Linked DNA regions of Schizosaccharomyces pombe. The protein of the gene in region 1 interacts with the protein of each later gene in a biochemical or structural test. Each region holds a gene or a part of one and is shown in the gene's direction. Other genes may lie near its edges. The genes, in order: rcd1, zfs1 and puf3.

Region 1 (4,371 bases):
GATCGGTTGAATCTTCGGAAGTTTTCTGGGTCGTTGGCTGCACAGCACTGTTATTCTGGACCACAAAACTGGGAGCCTCAACTTCCAAAGGCTCTCCAAAATCAACCTCAGTCTCCGGCAAATTTGGTTTGGGATCATTTAGGTTTTCAGAAGACACCAACGTATTTTCCTTACTAAGCTCAGGGGTATCGGTAACGGGTTTGCTTGCGACGAAATCCAAAGTTTGATGTTGCCCGGAGGAATTTTGGTTATGTACAAAAAAAGTGGATTCGTTATTTTCCGATTCAAGCTGAGATGAAGCCCTATCAACTGTAGTCGACGATTCTATATTGGCTTTGATATTGTCGTTCGAAACAGGCTTATCTTCAAGTTTGTCAACAGCATCTAAAGATGAAATTTGCATTTCTTTTGGCGTCGTATTCAATACTACAGAATCGTTGTTAAACTCTTTTTCATTCCCAGCTTCAGAAGTTAGATTTACGGTTTCAAAAGTCCCTTCCATTCCGTGAATGGAAGGAACCTCGTGGACTTCATGGTCTTCATTTTCATGCTCAAAAGTTGTAATTAAATCAGATGTCTGATCTTCCATATCAAGAGTGTCATTATATTGAGAGTTCGTAATGTATGCATTCTCAACTGAAGTACTAGTTTCTATCTTTTCGACTTCTGGAGATGGTGGTTTAGGAATTGTCTCATCATTATCATATATTTCTTTTTGCGACGATGAATAGTTTTCGTCACCCTTAAGAGTCGTTTCTAAGTCTTCCTTGCTCAAGTCTTCTTCAGAGAGTTTATCGTCTTCATCCACAACAGGCTCATCCATTATGTCAGAAATAATGGTTCCAGCAGTAATTTTTACCAAGTTATCATTTGAAGACTCCTCTTCTGTGTGAGCCGATTTGTCGCCAATGGTATTTTGAGGATTAATTTCCTGCACATTGTCCAAAGAATTACTCTCTATTAAGTTGCTTTCTTCTTTAACACCTTCTTTAGGCTCAGAGGAAGGCAACTGAATGTCAATTTCTGAAACTGACTGTTGAGAGGAGCTATTGGCTATGTTGTTTTCAACAAAGGAATCCATAGGTTCAATTGTGCTTTGTTCTTTTCTAGAGGTAGAAAAAATGGTGTTTTCATCTGTCACATCAATATCGTCAGCTTCAAAAGACTTGCGTATAGAATCATGCCGTCCTTCAAGATCAACAGAAGACTCCTTAGGCTCGTGGTCTGATTCAATATCCATTCCTTGATACGTTAGTGCCCAATATTATATTACTAAGACGAAAAATTTAGCTTATTTTTTAAACGAAAAATAGGCAGCAAAGTATACCAATAAATGGAGGATAAAACAATGCTCAAAGTTGTAGGAAAAAAATTGGCCCCTAGCTTTCCATGAGAAATGGTCAACCAAAATTTCACAAACAGTAATCGAAAATAATAATAGGTAGGTTCAAATAAAAAACAATCAACCACAAGGATATAGAAAATGGTAGGAAGTTTGTTGATGGCGCCAGTCAGTATCGAGAGATTAAAGTCAGAAGCAGAATAGCATACATCCTTATACTACGCTATATTAATTGTTCGTGAATGTTGTTCATAATTCTTCGTAAGGGTAAATATAGTAAACAAAAAAGCTATTCAAACATTAACGCAATTATTGAAGAAGAAACGGCTCAAGTTATTATATGTTTGAATACTAAATTACTCTTGATGAAAGTGTAAATGATGTGCAATTAGCAAACATCAACGGTTACGCATTCGGTATGAATATGTATTTACAAATCTTTAGAAAAGTAGTATTTACAAAAGCGTTAGAAATAACTTTTAAAAAAGGCTTTCAAAGATATAACATAGGTAAATTCCTTTTCTTATATCTCTGTTATTTTATAGCTTCTATTAGAAGCGAGCTAAGAATGGTTAAATACCTTTTCTAAATGCGTTTTGCCCACTTTTCTTTAAAAATATTTGATTCTCCTTATTACTCAGTAATGTATCTTGCATTTTTCTAACGCGCAGTGCGGTAGGTTTGCTATTCCCTGCCAACACTGTGCTTGTCCATTGCTCTCACGCGAAATCTACGGAACAGCATTTGCAGTTCAGGTTTATAAGATTGTTGTATTTTAAATTATTTAAGTCCAGTATTGCTGTGCAAGTTGATACTGTTTGGCACGCATAGCACGAGGACTGAAATTCCATTAAAATTTTAAAAGCTTTATCATTTTCTCGACACTCAGCACTTTACTGACTGTCGTTTAACGTTAATACCTTTTCTTTACCTTTTAGTGCATTATTCTATCCTTTGGATTGAACTACAAATTCGTTAGGTGTTGCTCTTTAGTTCCGGCAGCTATAAAATTATTATTCTTTATTTTATTCTTTTCGACAATAAACTATAGCATTTTTATTTCTTTCCCGCATTCTAGAAAAAATGGAAAACTTGGAATCCCCTAATTATGAACCAGCACTTGTCTATGAATGGATAATTCAACTTGTTTCTGGGACATCTCGCGAACAAGCTCTTGTCGAACTATCTCGTAAACGAGAACAGTATGAAGATTTGGCTCTTATTTTATGGCATTCATATGGTGTGATGACGGCTTTGTTGCAAGAAATTATCAGCGTTTATCCTCTTTTAAATCCACCCACACTTACAGGACCAACTAGTAACAGAGTGTGCAACGCGCTAGCTTTACTCCAGTGTATCGCTTCTCATCCTGAAACTAGAATCCACTTTTTAAATGCACACATTACTTTATTTCTATACCCGTTTTTGAATACCCTTTCAAAATCCAAACCTTTTGAATACCTGCGCCTTACTAGTTTAGGGGTGATTGGTGCATTAGTTAAAAATGACTCTCCAGAAGTAATCAACTTTTTATTATCTACAGAAATTATTCCTCTTTGTCTCAGAATCATGGAGAACGGTTCTGAATTATCAAAAACCGTTGCGATTTTCATCGTACAAAAATTTTTATGTGACGACGTTGGTCTTCAATATATTTGTCAAACATATGAACGCTTTTATGCAGTTGCGTCGGTTTTGAACAACATGGTAATGCAGCTTGTAGACTCTTTTGCTTTTCGTTTACTAAAGCATGTTATTCGTTGCTATCTTCGTCTTAGTGACAATCCTCGCGCCAGAGAAGCTCTAAGACACTGTCTACCAGAACCTTTACGTGATGCTACCTTTGCTCAGGTTTTAAAGGATGATCACAACACTAAAAAATGTCTTGCCCAATTGTTAATCAACTTATCAGACGTCGCCGTTGTTAATCAGTAATCGTTATTTTTTTTTTTTTTAAAAAACTTTTCTTAAATGTTGAATTAATTATTTCAATATCTGCCCTTCGTTTCCTATCTGGTTTACTTTCAATCATAATTTGTGACCGTAAGTGATTGGCATATGGCGATTTTTTGTGTTATTCGTCCGTCACCAATTTTTTCTTGTGTCTTTCTTATATCTTCCTTTATTATTATTTTTGCCCTGTCATTTTTCACTCCTCTTAATGTGCTCAAGTTATTCCTCAGGACAGAACTTACTCTGATGGCTTTTTTAAGGAAATCAGGGGTTTACTGTTAATTTTGCTTACAATTGTTAGATTCAGGATTTCATATCCTTTTCTCTTAATCTTTCCTTAAAATGCGTCACGAATGATGATTTTTACGAGTCAGCAAAATTTAAAAAAAAAAATAGAAAAAGATATAACATTCGCCGACGCATTTAATGTTTTTAACCAAAACACCTTTTTTCCTATTTCGTATCATATATACTTATACTATTTCTACAATATTCAATTCAGTTTCATCGATTACCTCTAATAAATTTAAAGAATTCGTACAATAGACAACAGAATTTGATTTATATTTACGTTCGTTAATTCTGCTATACTTCATTCAAGCAAATAATCAGATAAAAGTAATTTGAGATAATTTGTCCTCCTAATTATAGTGTTTGTCATATGCGACTACCAAGAATTACTAAATTTGCTTTATATCGAGAAAACCCTTGCCTACTCCCTCTTTATCATGCCACAAGAGATCCATCTTTGGCTAAAAGAGAGTGGACGTGGATATGCAAGGAATTAAAGCTGCTGTATCCAGAAATTAGCAAACATGGGTTGCGAAAAAAGATAGTAAATGCCTGTCAACTTCGAGCAAGAAACTATCCACTTCAGTATATACTGAAAAGTCAACCTTTTGGTAATATCAAGATAGATTGTCAACAAGGAGTTTTAATACCTCGTTGGGAAACAGAAGAATGGGTTGAACGTGTGGTTGATAAGCTAAATCGACTCGAGAGATTAAAACCGTTAAAGATTCTCGATTTATGTACAGGGTCTGGCTGCATATCAAGCTTTGTGTTGGCAAACCTAA
Region 2 (7,075 bases), on another chromosome or scaffold:
CTCACCGCAGTTCTACGTATCCTTAAATCAGATACCAAACTGCGTAGCTTACAGTATAATAAATAACAGATTATTCCGTTACACAACACATTATTGACTAAACTTCCGTATATGAATTGAGTGTACGTTTTCACCATCATCAGTCAGTTCATTCGGTCGATACGCATGTGGCATGAATTTACCAGTTTTACGTGTTTCGTACAATGACAATTTGTGATTGCCGGTTTTGATGAATTCATCATGATACGATGGATTTGCTTCACTAGCAACGCCTATATGTTTAAAATGAAGACACTTAGGTCTAGAAATCTCTGTTTTTCTGTTTTCTGTTAAATCATTTTACCGAGAATAAAGGGGTATGTATGATGGATGGGGTACTTTCAATTCTTTGCTTTTCCTCGACCCACTGTAACCCAAGCAACATGCTAAAGAAAGCGAATCGGCCGTTTTCTCGATTTGAGTAGTATTATCATTGTTATTATAATTTGATATTTTAATATTGTTTTACTAGCAAGATCAACTTCCCTTTGTTCTTTTACATAGCGCAATTCCTCCTAGCTGAACACCTGACCGACCCCTTAACCCCTCCTCGTTCTCCCTTTGCCAAAATAAAAAAAAATAAAAAAAATAAAGAAAATATCAATAAATAATTTAATAAAAATTTTTTTTAAACAAAAATAGTTTTGAAACCCAAAATTAGGTAGACTATCTTTTGTATCATGCCGTAATTCGTATTCTCCGTCGTGTTTGCCAAAATTCAATCATCACTCAGATACTGTCAATAATAGCTTTTATATTTCAAATTATTCATCAATTTCATTTGTACTTTATTCATTTATTCCATTTTTCAACTTTTATTTAGATATCCTTACTCTTGTCTTTTTTACGTTTGTTTATGTCTTTTTGATGGATGGTTCTTGCAACTCGTTTTGCCATCTCCATCTCCCGCTGCTACTCTAAGCAAAAGCATTGCCGATGCATAACAACGCCTTCCGTAATTTTTATTAGTCCTCCGTATGACCACATTTGTCTGTAGTAAAAATGAGCTGTCCAGTCGAGAACTCCAGCTTCGTATGCATGCTTCCGGATCCTATCGTGCTCAAAGACCATCCCGCTATCTTACTTTACAATGTAGATTTGAACACGCCCCAGTGTGGAGGTAAACTTTCTGGGCCTTTTGAGCAATGGTAAGTACGTGTCTTCCGTTCATTATCCCAATCAGCTACAATTTATCGCCAATACTCTCCAATGAATGGAAGAACAATTACCAAACAAACACTGGGGATTGTGCCCACAGTAGATTGCGTGTAGAAGGGATAACAAACATGCTATTGCCATGCATGCATCTACACCAAGGAAATTAGAAAAAAATTTGTTCAAAAACGAAAAACTATTCTTTTTGATAATATGTGTAAAAATAAAATAAAATAAAATAAAATAAAATAAAATAAAATAAAATACCAATACATTTTGTTTCATATAGAATATAGAACTGCTCATAAATTAAAAAATAGCCTGCATCAAAAAAATTTATTCCAATTCCCTCGTCTTTACCTAAAACAACTAATACTGTACTACTTTTTTTAAATCGCATTCCTTTAGAGCACGCACTTTTCGAACCAATACACCGCCATTCTATGCAATGCTTCCCCTTTCCCTATTGTAATTCTACCGATAATTTTATTCTCGGAGTTGTTTTATGACTTTCTAATTTACTTTGTAAATTTTTCTTTTTTTGAAAGCTCCTCCATCTGTCCTTGCTCACGTTTGCCATCTTTCCATTTCAACACTGTAGTGTACTGCGCCACAACATCCGCACTGAGTGTCTTTTGCACATACCACTGATTTTACCGACATTCCCCACTTTTAAACAACTTGTAAGCACAGGGCTTGTTGAGTCCATCAACTTGCTCTTTCGACATCTTCTAGGTCGTTGACTTTACGTAGTATAAAGTGGCATTGATGCTCGAACACAATTAACTAATCTTAACACATTGATAATTGGTTTCTTTGTGTTTTAAACAAAAAAAAATTTCATCTCTTTTGTTGTCCCATATATATATTGATTGCGTGTAACCTTGAAATAACCTCAATTTCTGTACCGGGGTCGTTGCGTATCGAAACACTATTGTTATCGTCCTAGCATATTTGGATACTGTGTACTACACTATTGTCGTGCTCTCTTTTACTTTACTTTACTCACTTTTCCTTCCTTCTTGCCCGACACGACATTGAAACTGCTGGCTTCCTAGCCTTGCTCCTCCTTTTCGACCGGACCTGCTACGTGCTGTAAATTGATTAATCGTATACAATTGTGGTTTTTGACAATTTTCTTTTATTCTGTCGATTTTCTCTTTTTCTCTTATCACGACTTTCTGCTTCTCTTCTACAATATTTTGCTAATCGGCTTGTGTTGTATCAACAGCAAAGCTAAGTGACTTGACATTACTAGAATTCTTCCTTTCCTTCAAAAACACGTGCAAGTTTGTTCCATTTTAATATCTACGTTTCCTTCCTTGATTGCACTATTTCATCATTAGAGGGAACCACTTTTCTATATTACCAAGCACCTACTTATTTGGGATTTATTTATTTTTATTTCCTACGGCTAACTCGATTACGATTAGTGCGCGGCTTTTTCTCTTTGGAAAAATTTTTCTTGTTGGAACGGTTGTCAATCGCGTGCTATATTGCTTTCCTTCTTACCCGTTTACAATTTAGCTTTCCCTTTTCTCCTTTTGCAATTTTTTTTGGGTTTTTTTTAAAACGTACACACGCACTGTGTATTCCATCTAGCCATCAATCCTTCATTTTTTTTCCACCGATTAATCCTTTTCTATATATACCGGAATTTTCCGTCTTTTCTTTTTCGGACACTTTTACGAGCTGTTGCGAATTTCGTTATTCTTAGTTTGTGTTATTTGCTTTTAGCCGCCCTTTTTCTTCTTCTCTGCATCAACATAACAGGTCAGGGACCAGACAGGACAGGACGAAACAACAACGTAATCGTTCAACCAACTTCTATTACCATCGACCTCTAACTTACCGACTTACCACCACAACACTTTCCTCCAGAATAGTTGAAAGCCTTTTGACTTTGCTGAATCTTTCTTTGTGTGTCCGTGTGTGTGTCTGTTTTTTTCAAATTCATCACTGTTTGAATATCGGCATCTCATCCTTTTTCTCAATTTCTCAATTTCTTGCCTGAGATACCGTTTGTTCTTTCCGTTGAATACTTTTTTTCTGCAGTGTGAAAAAATTCCGTTTTACGTTGACAAAACATTTATCTCGGATTGAAAGTTGTTTTCGTAGCTGTTTGTTTTAGTCTATTCCTTTCAACCGGTTTTCTTGTCTCTGTTAGATTTGTTTTCTCTTCTTCATTCTGAGTCAAGCTCTGGGTTTTTTTCTTTGTTGGAAAACCATTCTCTTTTCAATTTTATTTCTCTTTTCTGATATCGAAGCAAAAGAGCTCCTAAACGCTCTCAATTACTGTTTAACGTAACAGATATATTAACATCTTAGTATATTTGCGTTTTATTTGTTGAAACTTTCGCATATCCCCTTAAAGCTTTTTGTGGCAATCCTTATCTGATATTGATTTATTCTTTTGATTCGCCATTTCTTTCGACGTTTTTAAAGTACTCTAAAAGAGAAATTATTTAAAATACTTTAAATTGGGCTCTGTTCTTTTCTCCATCCCACTTTTGTATCTTTGCAGCAATAGTCGGTTTGGTTGATAATCCCTATATTTCTTTGGACAAGATATTATCTTTTGCTGAAAAAACACCCCATCTTTCGATTTTGAAATTTTTTTTTCTGTTTCAATTTCTTATTTCTTTCTACTGATTACTCTCCTCATCAATTCTCACTCTTTTTTCATTTCAAATCTCGCTTTTATCCTATATCAGTGATAAAACTCCTGTTTGATGCTCACCTTGCACATTGGCACTAACTTTAACGTTTTCCCTTTATATCCGCAAATTCCCTTTTTTTTGTGCTTCGTATATTAAAAGCGTTCCCTTATTAGGTTTTTTTATACATTAAGGATTTACGATTAGTCTCATTTTGTTGTGTTTTGAGATTTGTGTTTTATGTTCATCTGTTGTATTCACTTACTTCAGAGAAAAAAAAGGCGTTTTTGTTCTTTTGGTTTAAATTTTATTCCCTAAAATTTGCATTCAACTCGGATTTTTTCTTTGTTTGACGACTGTTTTTTGAAAAGGATTGCTTTGGGTCACAAACACAATACATCCATCTATTAAACTTTTGTCTTCTATACTTTTACTTCCTTCTCAAAATCTTTCCTTATATCATTGTGTGGTTTCTCTCCGTTTTCTTGTATCTTTTCTGTTCGACTTCTGAAAAAACAGCGTCTCTATACTATTGATTTTCATCTTAAATTTGCGTGTTTTCTTTTTAACTCTACGTTTCTCTCGTTTTTCTGCATATTACTTTCGGTGATTACCCTGTAATTCTATTTTGAAGGTTGACGTTTTTTTCAAGTTCCTGATTCCATAATTCTATTTAACACAAGTTTTTTACTGGAATTTTTTAAGTTATTCTGCGCAACCTTTTTTTGATTCATTTTACAACTTCTTTGTTCGTTTATAACTAATCTTCTATTGTATCACTTTTTTCTAGTGAACTTCATTAATTTATTGCGTGTCTGTTTTTTATTCTTTTAACCATGGTTTATTCTCCTATGTCTCGACCTCAAGTACCTCTGGCTTTTCGCCAATGGCCCCCCTACAATTATAAGAGTGATCCCCTTGTCAACTCAAAACTATCTCAGTCTACTACGTCTGTTAATGCAGGACCCAGTTTAATAAGTCCATCATTCCTTGACTCCTACGCCAACTCCTCATCTTTACTTCACAAGCCATCTACAAATTTGGGCAGTTTAAAGACATCTAGTCTTCTCGCCTCTGATGAAGTTTTCCCTTCTTCAGTCATGCCCCAGCTTCGTCCATTGGATTCAAGTTTATCTGTTTCTCCTGAAATGGACGGTTGGCCATGGCATCACAATTCTTCTTCTAACCCACAGGGATACGCATGGACACCTTCATTACTTTCTTCCAACGCTACTAGCTATTTACATTCTGGTAGTTCTCCTCATGGAAACACAAGCAATCATCCTTCACCTATATCATCCTTGGAGAGTCTTCCTTCTCGTAGTAGCACTGGTAGTGGTAGTCTTGATTTTTCCGGCCTTGCCAATCTCCACGATGATTCCAAATCACTGGCCATGTCTTTGAACATGGCTGGCGTCCCTGTATCCGTCGATGAGAACTCTCAAACTTCGTTTCCTTTTGTTCATGGTCAACCGGAATCTACCATGTCTAGAAAACCTAAGCTGTGCGTTCAATCGAAATCAATGACAAACATCCGCAACTCTGTTGCTAAACCGTCGTTAGTTAGACAATCGCATTCAGCGGGGGTTATTCCCATCAAGCCTACAGCATCGAATGCCTCAATTCGCAATGCTCCTTCCAATTTATCAAAGCAATTTTCACCTTCGGGTAATAGTCCTCTTACTGAGGCTTCCAAACCTTTCGTTCCTCAACCATCAGCTGCAGGAGATTTTCGCCAAGCTAAGGGTTCAGCTAGCCATCCTCATGGTTCTGGCAGTAGTAATGGGGTAGCTCCCAACGGCAAGCGCGCATTATATAAGACCGAGCCTTGCAAGAATTGGCAAATTAGTGGAACTTGCCGTTATGGCTCTAAATGTCAATTTGCGCATGGCAACCAGGAACTGAAAGAACCTCCTCGTCACCCAAAATACAAAAGCGAGCGTTGCCGATCTTTCATGATGTATGGTTATTGTCCTTACGGATTGCGATGCTGCTTTTTGCATGATGAATCCAATGCTCAAAAAAGTGCAACTATTAAGCAATCTCCTTGATATCACATCAGCTTGTATAAGATGACTTTTGTTCTTTGTTGTTATGCAATCTGGGTGAGATTAATTTATTATGACGCTTACTTTCCTATCCTCCTTGGTTTTCTTATACGGTTATTATTTATATTGTTCTTCTGTAACATTATGTGAGCTTTTCTTTTGCAATCGCCTTTACCTTGTTTTTATTTATGGTTTTATCGCAAGGTTTGAGTTTGCCAGTCATGTTCACACTTTATTCTTTATTTATTTGATGACCTTATTGGTCAAGATAGAATTTATAAGAGAAAAAAATTAAAGAAGATCATGAGTTAGTTACTCTGTCATATGTCAGGGTACTGTTTTTATTTTTGCAAATCATGTACCTTTAGCTTTTTGCAGAATGGCGATTTAAAGAGTTATGAGAAGATTGGACAATATATATTTATAGTATTAAATTCGAATCTTGTTTACTTCGTCTAGCAATGCGATACGCATGAATCGGGGTTTTATTAGATTTGTGTGGTATCTGTAATATACTGTTATAATTCGAATCAAGGGAGTTTCTTAAAATACCCAATCTTATTACGAAAATGATTTATGCAATCAGGGAGATTTGATGAGCGAAGCCTATGTATTATTTGAATAACAGTAACGTTACTGCAAAAATTTAAGTAGTTATTTGAATGTTGTGCACTTTTCATAAACATAGATTTGCAATATGCATCAAAAATTTGTAACGCAATTCTGTACTGCTTACAAACAATTTTATTCACGAGAAAACTACCAGGCTATACATAGTAACACATACAAGCATTTTTGGAAAGTTAGTTAAAAAAATTCATTAAACTCGGACTACTTTACTCGTTATTTAATCGCTATCGGCTTGCTGTTCCAAGATAACTAATGAATTGATCTTCTGCAGAGCCAATTCCAAACATTGCCGCTTATGCTGCAACTGTAGCTGTGACTTGAGACGAGGATTTTCATTGACAAATGCATTCAACTGTTCAGAACTCAAAGAATGGATGAGACGCTGATCCAGTTCACGTGGAAATTGGTAATAAAACTCAGAAAGCAGCTCAATATTAATAAATAAAACTGCGGTATTAACCAGTTTATCAGAAACGGCATTTAAAAAAATTTCAGGACAGGTGTACTTCGCTTCTTTGTGCTTACAGGCCCTAGATTTTAAAACAG
Region 3 (6,120 bases), 4.5 Mb from region 1:
CTACAAACTGATAATTATTAAGCGGACAACGTGGAGTTCTCATGGTACATCGTAGCCTAAAAACTAAGGATGTTACTTGAAAGCTCACTGCTACTTTAAGGTAGATGCTTTAACAATATGCCTACTCTCATTCCACCGCAACAGTGCTATCGGTTTAATAAAAAAACCAAATTGAAAGCAATCTTTGCGCCATAAATCTATAAAAATGTCTATGTTTGGAATCGGAAAGAATAATCAGACCATTAATCCTCAGAACATTGCTATGGCTGAGCAAGAGGTTGAGATGATGTCTGATATCTTTAATAGGTATGCTTAATAGAGAAGCTAAGGATTGATATTTACAGCCGTCTATTTTTACGTTTCAAAATTCATCGTGAATTTAAGTATTCGAAGGGTTGTCAAAAAGTTACAAAGTCTCAGTACATACCTTGAAAGTAGTGCTGTACTCGTTTAAGTCAATTGTACTGCATACCTAGCTTTTTTAAAAACTATGGTACTTTGGTAGACTAATTTTTGGCAACGTAATATTATTCCAATTTTACATAAGTATTTGTTTACTTCTTTAATACATTTACATTGTTTTATCTTATGAAAAGACCAATCCGACGAATTTCTAAAAATTTTTCTACAAAAGTCGCTAACATTCCTTTCTAGACTTGTAATGACCTGTCATAAAAAGTGCATATCTCCTAAATACTATGAAGCCGATTTAACGAAAGGAGAAAGCGTGTGTATTGACCGTTGTGTATCGAAATACTTTGAAGCAAATCAGAGTCTTTCACAGCACATGCAAAAGCGTGGTCAAGAAAATCCAACACCATGAGCCCTTTGATTATCAACACATCTACCATTGTAGTATAAAATGGGTCATGTCCGATCCTATGTTACGGATGGAATGCTTTAAAAATTTCTCTACGACTTTTGGGATTCTCATTATACAATAAATAAAATTAATTTATAGTATTATTTTGAATAATGGAATGAAACCTGTGCGCACATCCGTGATATGGTGGTTCATACAGAAATAATTTCGTTCTTTTTTATTTGATGTCGTGTTAAACCATTTACGATACTCTATAATCTATGGAATGATCAACTTCTCTCTTCTTTTTCAAACGAAGCAATACTAATTATTAACTCTTTCATGACACTCTTTCTATCGTATTTCAAACGAAAGTTCCACCAAGCCCTCAAGTTTTCCCATCTGTAATTGTTGCTATTATTATTAATCACCCGTTCTCAAACTGAAACCTTTTACTATTCAACCCATGATTTAGCAGTCATTTGTTTTAGCCGAAAATTACTCATTACGCTATCGTTTTCTAGACTCTAGGAGATGTAAATAACTTATGTTTTAGGAAATAGTGTCCCGCTATTAGCCCCCACGGAAGCTGTCGTTTTTGTGAACTTCTTGGAAGAGATGCCTCATGCAGCGCCTCCTTGAGACTTTTGCAATTGTAAATCTCTTGTGCATTACCTTCTATAACGATATAAAGTACACACTGTACTGCAGCATTACTCACAAGCATTTGTGTTCTTCGAAGATTTCTTTCCGAACCTAGTCGGAGCTGCGTTCCACCTTGTTCCGTGCCTGCGTTAAGTGTTTCACGGAAAGTAAAGGCACGCTATACGCCTGACGGCTGATTTCAATAGACAAGAGATATGTCTGCGGATATAGTACCGTTGAGCGCAGTGAACGAAAGTCGTTTGGTAGTCGATATGCAGCAATTGCTATAGTTGAATACATAAATAGTAATTCTAAGTTTGTAAAAAATAGAAATAAAATTGTAAGATTAACGACATTGTATATTTGTTTAATGGTTTGTTCGACCGATCGTCATGACATAAAGTGGAAGCGCTCAGCTCATCAAACTTACCGGGAACCACTTCGACTCCAAGTTTGAATTGCATTTTATTTTTTACCCTTTTGGTTTCTTTACATTTTTTTCTAAGTTTGATATCAATTAATCGGAAAGCACTTTGAAAAACTACTGATTCATCATATCAGAAGCATACTTTAATTTCCTTAATACCACCTAAGGCGCTCGAAATTGTGAAATCTCGTTTCATTAAAAAGAAAAGAAGCTTTAGGTACTAAAATTACCATAATTGAACGCTGACTAGTCTTGGCGAATCCTTTTTCATCATCATTATTCTCAACTACGATTTCATGTTAATACTTGTTGGGCTTCTTCGATTCGAAAACGGGAAATTTGATTCTAACAATCATTCTTTATCGATTCATTGATTCTTTTTTTTCTTTTTTTACCTTCCTCTTCTAGATTTTTTTCTACTTTTTGTAAGTTCATAACACTTCGAACACAATTTCATATTCGTTGCATCTCCCTTATATAAGCTTTACCCTTCCAAAAGTTTTTTTCCCGAGCTTTACCCGACATTGATTTATTTGATTTAACTAATTTATATATATAATATTCATAACATATATATATATATATATATATATATATACATTACTAATTCTTTTGGTGTCCTTCGTTAGTGAGTGAAGCAGTCGTTGCTAAACTCTTACGAGATTTTGAAGAATCATCCAATTTTTTGCCGCTATTTATGCAATAATAGGTCTCAATTCAAAGCCGTAGAAATACTTTTCCTCAAGTATTTTTGTTTAACTTATTACTTTGACCGGTACAATCAACCAGTGGAGACAAGCGACATTTACTTTATTTCATTTGGGTTGTTTCTATTTCTATTCTTTTTTTACTGTTATATCCTTCTTTGTGCTTTTTGGTTTGCTCCAAGTATCAGTAAAACTTCGTTACACTCCTTTTTTGTGCTACATCATTTGTAAATCTTTACACTTTCGCTTACCTGTGAAAACTGTGTTTCCATTTTGTGATGTTTACTGCTGTAAATTCCAATCCAAACGCATCTGAGAGCATTTCGGGAAATTCTGCATTCAATTTCCCGTCAGCACCTGTATCTTCTTTGGATACGAATAATTATGGTCAACGTCGGCCCAGTCTTTTGTCTGGCACATCACCAACTTCTTCATTCTTCAATTCCTCTATGATCAGTTCTAACTATACTTTCCCACACGGATCAAACAAACAAGCTTCCTTAGAGTCACCTGTTTCCTACTCTAACCCGATCCCGTCTTTAACTTGGCTTTCACTTGACGGGGATTCTCCCGATTCACTGGTATCTACGCCTACTGCCCCTTCGGCTAATCATCATGGTAATCCCTTCCCTAATGGTAAACAAAGTATAAAGGCGATGCCAAGTCTTGTTAATTTGCAAGAAGATTCTGTTATCTCGAAGTTTCCTAACTCACTGGAGGTCCCTTTTCGTAAGCGTTCCGAATCAACTAGCTCTTCTTTATCTGGCCTACATTCCGATTTGCGTCCTTTGAAGACAGAACTTTATGGTCAGTTGAACTCTGAGTGCGGCGCCCGATTTCCACAAACCCTAAAATCCCCATTGACGCCCATTGGTGGTGATTCTGCTCGTACAGTTTCTGCTAGCACAGCAAGAACATCTGATAAGTTTTTCCCTCGCCATACGCGCGCACATTCTGATTTTTGGATCCCAGCTACAAGTAAACCTTCAAGACATGCTTCACATTCATCAATAGGCGATTTAACTACTATTACCCAATCTTCTATTTCAAGTGGCTCAGGATCTTTTAAACCGTCTTGGGATGGCTCATTCGACTCAAGTTTGATGGCTCATCAAAGTTATGGAACTTCTCCTGCATTTGCTAATGGTAATTCACCTACTTTGAAGAATGATTCGTCATTTTTTGGATCAGCCTCTGTACGTCCTACTGTTTCTCCTATTGGTACTTCATTTAGACAAAGTTTGCCTGATATATCTGCCTTTGGTATTCCAAAAACCGAAACCAATCCTTCTGAAGTAGTTGCTCCTGGGACTATTCCTATAAGTGTATTACCAACTTCCAATTTTTCGGCAGCCACTCCAGCTAACCCTTCGTTAATTAATCAAAATGGACAGGAATTTTTGCAACAATCCAGAGTTCTGTACTTATTTCATGCAAATAAGCAGAGACATTTCGAGTTATCTGATATCCTTGGAAATGTAGTTTTGTTCAGTACCGATCAACATGGCTCAAGATTTATTCAACAAAAGCTTGCGACGGCCACTGAAGAAGAAAGGGAAGCAGTTTTTCAAGAGATTGCGTCTACTAGCTGTTTGCAATTAATGATGGATATCTTTGGTAATTATGTGGTGCAAAAGTACTTCGAATTTGGTAACGAGAAGCAGAAACAAATATTATTGTCGCAGATTAAAGGTCATGTTTTTTCCTTATCTTTGCAAATGTATGGTTGCCGAGTTGTTCAAAAAGCTATTGAATATATTTCTCCTGAGCACCAAGTTCAACTTATTCAGGAATTAGATGGTCACGTCCTAGATTGTGTATGTGACCAGAATGGAAATCATGTTATTCAAAAAGCTATCGAATGCATTGATACTGGACACTTACAGTTCATTCTTAGAGCTTTGCGCCCACAAATTCATGTCCTTTCCGCCCATCCATACGGTTGTCGAGTTATACAGCGTGCCATTGAGCATTGTCATAGTGAGCGTAAATTAATTATAGAAGAACTGCTACCTCACATTTTGAAATTAACTCAAGACCAATATGGAAATTACGTTGTTCAACATATATTGAGAACCGGAAGCGAGAGCGACAAAAAGTACATTTTTGATCTTATGATAGATCATTTGCTATTTTTAAGTTGTCATAAGTTTGCATCTAATGTTGTAGAAAGGTGTATTTCTTACATTTCCGACGTTGATCGACGTCGAATTTTGAACAAAATCATCTCTGAGAAGGCTGAAAAGTAAGTATCCTCTTTTATTTGCAACTCCAAGAATGTATCTAACTAATTTCGTTAAGTTGTAGTATTTTGATGTTAATGATGAAGGATAAATATGCGAACTATGTGATTCAAAAATTACTTGATGCCTCTCCAGAGGAGGAAAGGGATCTTCTTATTTCTTACATATATCCTCATATATCTGTTCTTAAAAAATTTACCTATGGGAAGCATTTGATAATGTGTAAGTGGTTTATTCAATTTTTTTTTTCGTTACTAATTATTATGATAGCGGTGGAACGTTTCCGTCAAAAATCCATTTCCGCAGTTCCCAAGCTGGCCAGCAAGGAATGCAAGTAACCATATAATATGATGAATGTGGATTTTGCCTTGCTTCGCCGGCTTAAAGTGGTACAAAACTCTTCCGTTAGAAGTTGTACATAAACCTTTTTTTTTAATGTGTTTGTTTTTTCATGTACTTTATGACACTTTCCGCATCTCATCAGCGGGGCACGAAATGAACCGAAATGTTAAACGTGATGCTCTTTATTCCATTATGATATTGTTATTATTGTTATCATTTTTATGATTATATTCACTATATATGGAGACGAACAGCAGCACTTATTATTTAAGATAAGCCAAATTTACCTTTTGAATGAAAAAATATTAATTTAAAATTTTATATAAGCATATACTAAAAAACAAAATTATTTGAAAATTTTAATTTAAACGTGAGCTATCACTAAAACATTAGTACTAGCTATCTAAAACGAGCAAAGGAAAGCTTGATAGGTCAAAAATAGTAAGTAAGAGGTTTAAGCAATTAATTTGCCAGTCTCTTCCGATTCAAGGTGAGAGGCATCTCCGAACGTATGAATATGACCGGTCCCATGCTCAGTCACCTCAATCTCAGTAATGCTGGTATTAAAGGTTATGATTTTGCTTTCGAGTTTCGATTTGTCAAAAGTGAAACCCTTTTCCTCCATAAAATGAGTTCGCAAAACATTGATAACACCTCCATGGCAAAGGACAATAACACATTTTTTCTTGCCTTGTAAAGGGACGACATATTCATCCCAAAACTTCAATAGACGACTAGTAAGATGAGACAAACCCTCTCCATAATGATCTGGATGGTTGGCATTCAACAGTTTTTTGGCTTCTACAACGTTCATGCCTATTTCATTAGAATTTTTTATATTAGAAAAGTACTTGTTTATACAAAATTCATACCTTCAAGATCACCATAGACTCGCTTTTTAGACAATATTAGCATGACATAAATATATCTAAAAACGTACCTCGCGAATTAAAT

What was found.
Region 2: the proteins of rcd1 (region 1) and zfs1 form a complex in vitro, tested with the Schizosaccharomyces pombe proteins (one study listed by BioGRID).
Region 3: the proteins of rcd1 (region 1) and puf3 form a complex in vitro, tested with the Schizosaccharomyces pombe proteins (one study listed by BioGRID).

What each region holds. Positions count from the first base shown.
Region 1 is NC_003424.3:5,416,866-5,421,236, reverse strand, and holds rcd1 (CCR4-NOT complex subunit Rcd1), read left to right. Parts: upstream 1-2,063; 5' UTR 2,064-2,425; coding exon 2,426-3,277; 3' UTR 3,278-3,871; downstream 3,872-4,371. Other genes in the region: multidomain vesicle coat component Sec16, read right to left, coding at 1-1,240; mtq1 (S-adenosylmethionine-dependent methyltransferase), read left to right, coding at 3,957-4,371. UniProt on the Schizosaccharomyces pombe protein: A differentiation-controlling factor that is essential for the onset of sexual development. Induces ste11 when sexual development is invoked through nitrogen starvation.
Region 2 is NC_003423.3:3,482,281-3,489,355, reverse strand, and holds zfs1 (zinc finger protein), read left to right. Parts: upstream 1-1,909; 5' UTR 1,910-4,687; coding exon 4,688-5,902; 3' UTR 5,903-6,508; downstream 6,509-7,075. Other genes in the region: dynamin family GTPase Msp1, read right to left, coding at 6,747-7,075. UniProt on the Schizosaccharomyces pombe protein: Binds to specific AU-rich elements (ARE) in the 3'-untranslated region of target mRNAs and promotes their degradation. Binds to ARE present in the arz1 mRNA and stimulates the rate of arz1 mRNA decay.
Region 3 is NC_003424.3:942,667-948,786, reverse strand, and holds puf3 (pumilio family RNA-binding protein Puf3), read left to right. Parts: upstream 1-1,878; 5' UTR 1,879-2,859; coding exon 2,860-4,826; intron 4,827-4,882; coding exon 4,883-5,046; intron 5,047-5,094; coding exon 5,095-5,162; 3' UTR 5,163-5,522; downstream 5,523-6,120. Other genes in the region: Tim9-Tim10 complex subunit Tim10, read left to right, coding at 206-306, 655-823; SPOM_SPAC1687.21 (fructose-2,6-bisphosphatase), read right to left, coding at 5,621-5,982, 6,039-6,060, 6,107-6,120. UniProt on the Schizosaccharomyces pombe protein: RNA-binding protein involved in post-transcriptional regulation. Predominantly binds to mRNAs encoding mitochondrial proteins and localizes them to the vicinity of mitochondria for translation. Regulates mitochondrial biogenesis, motility and morphology.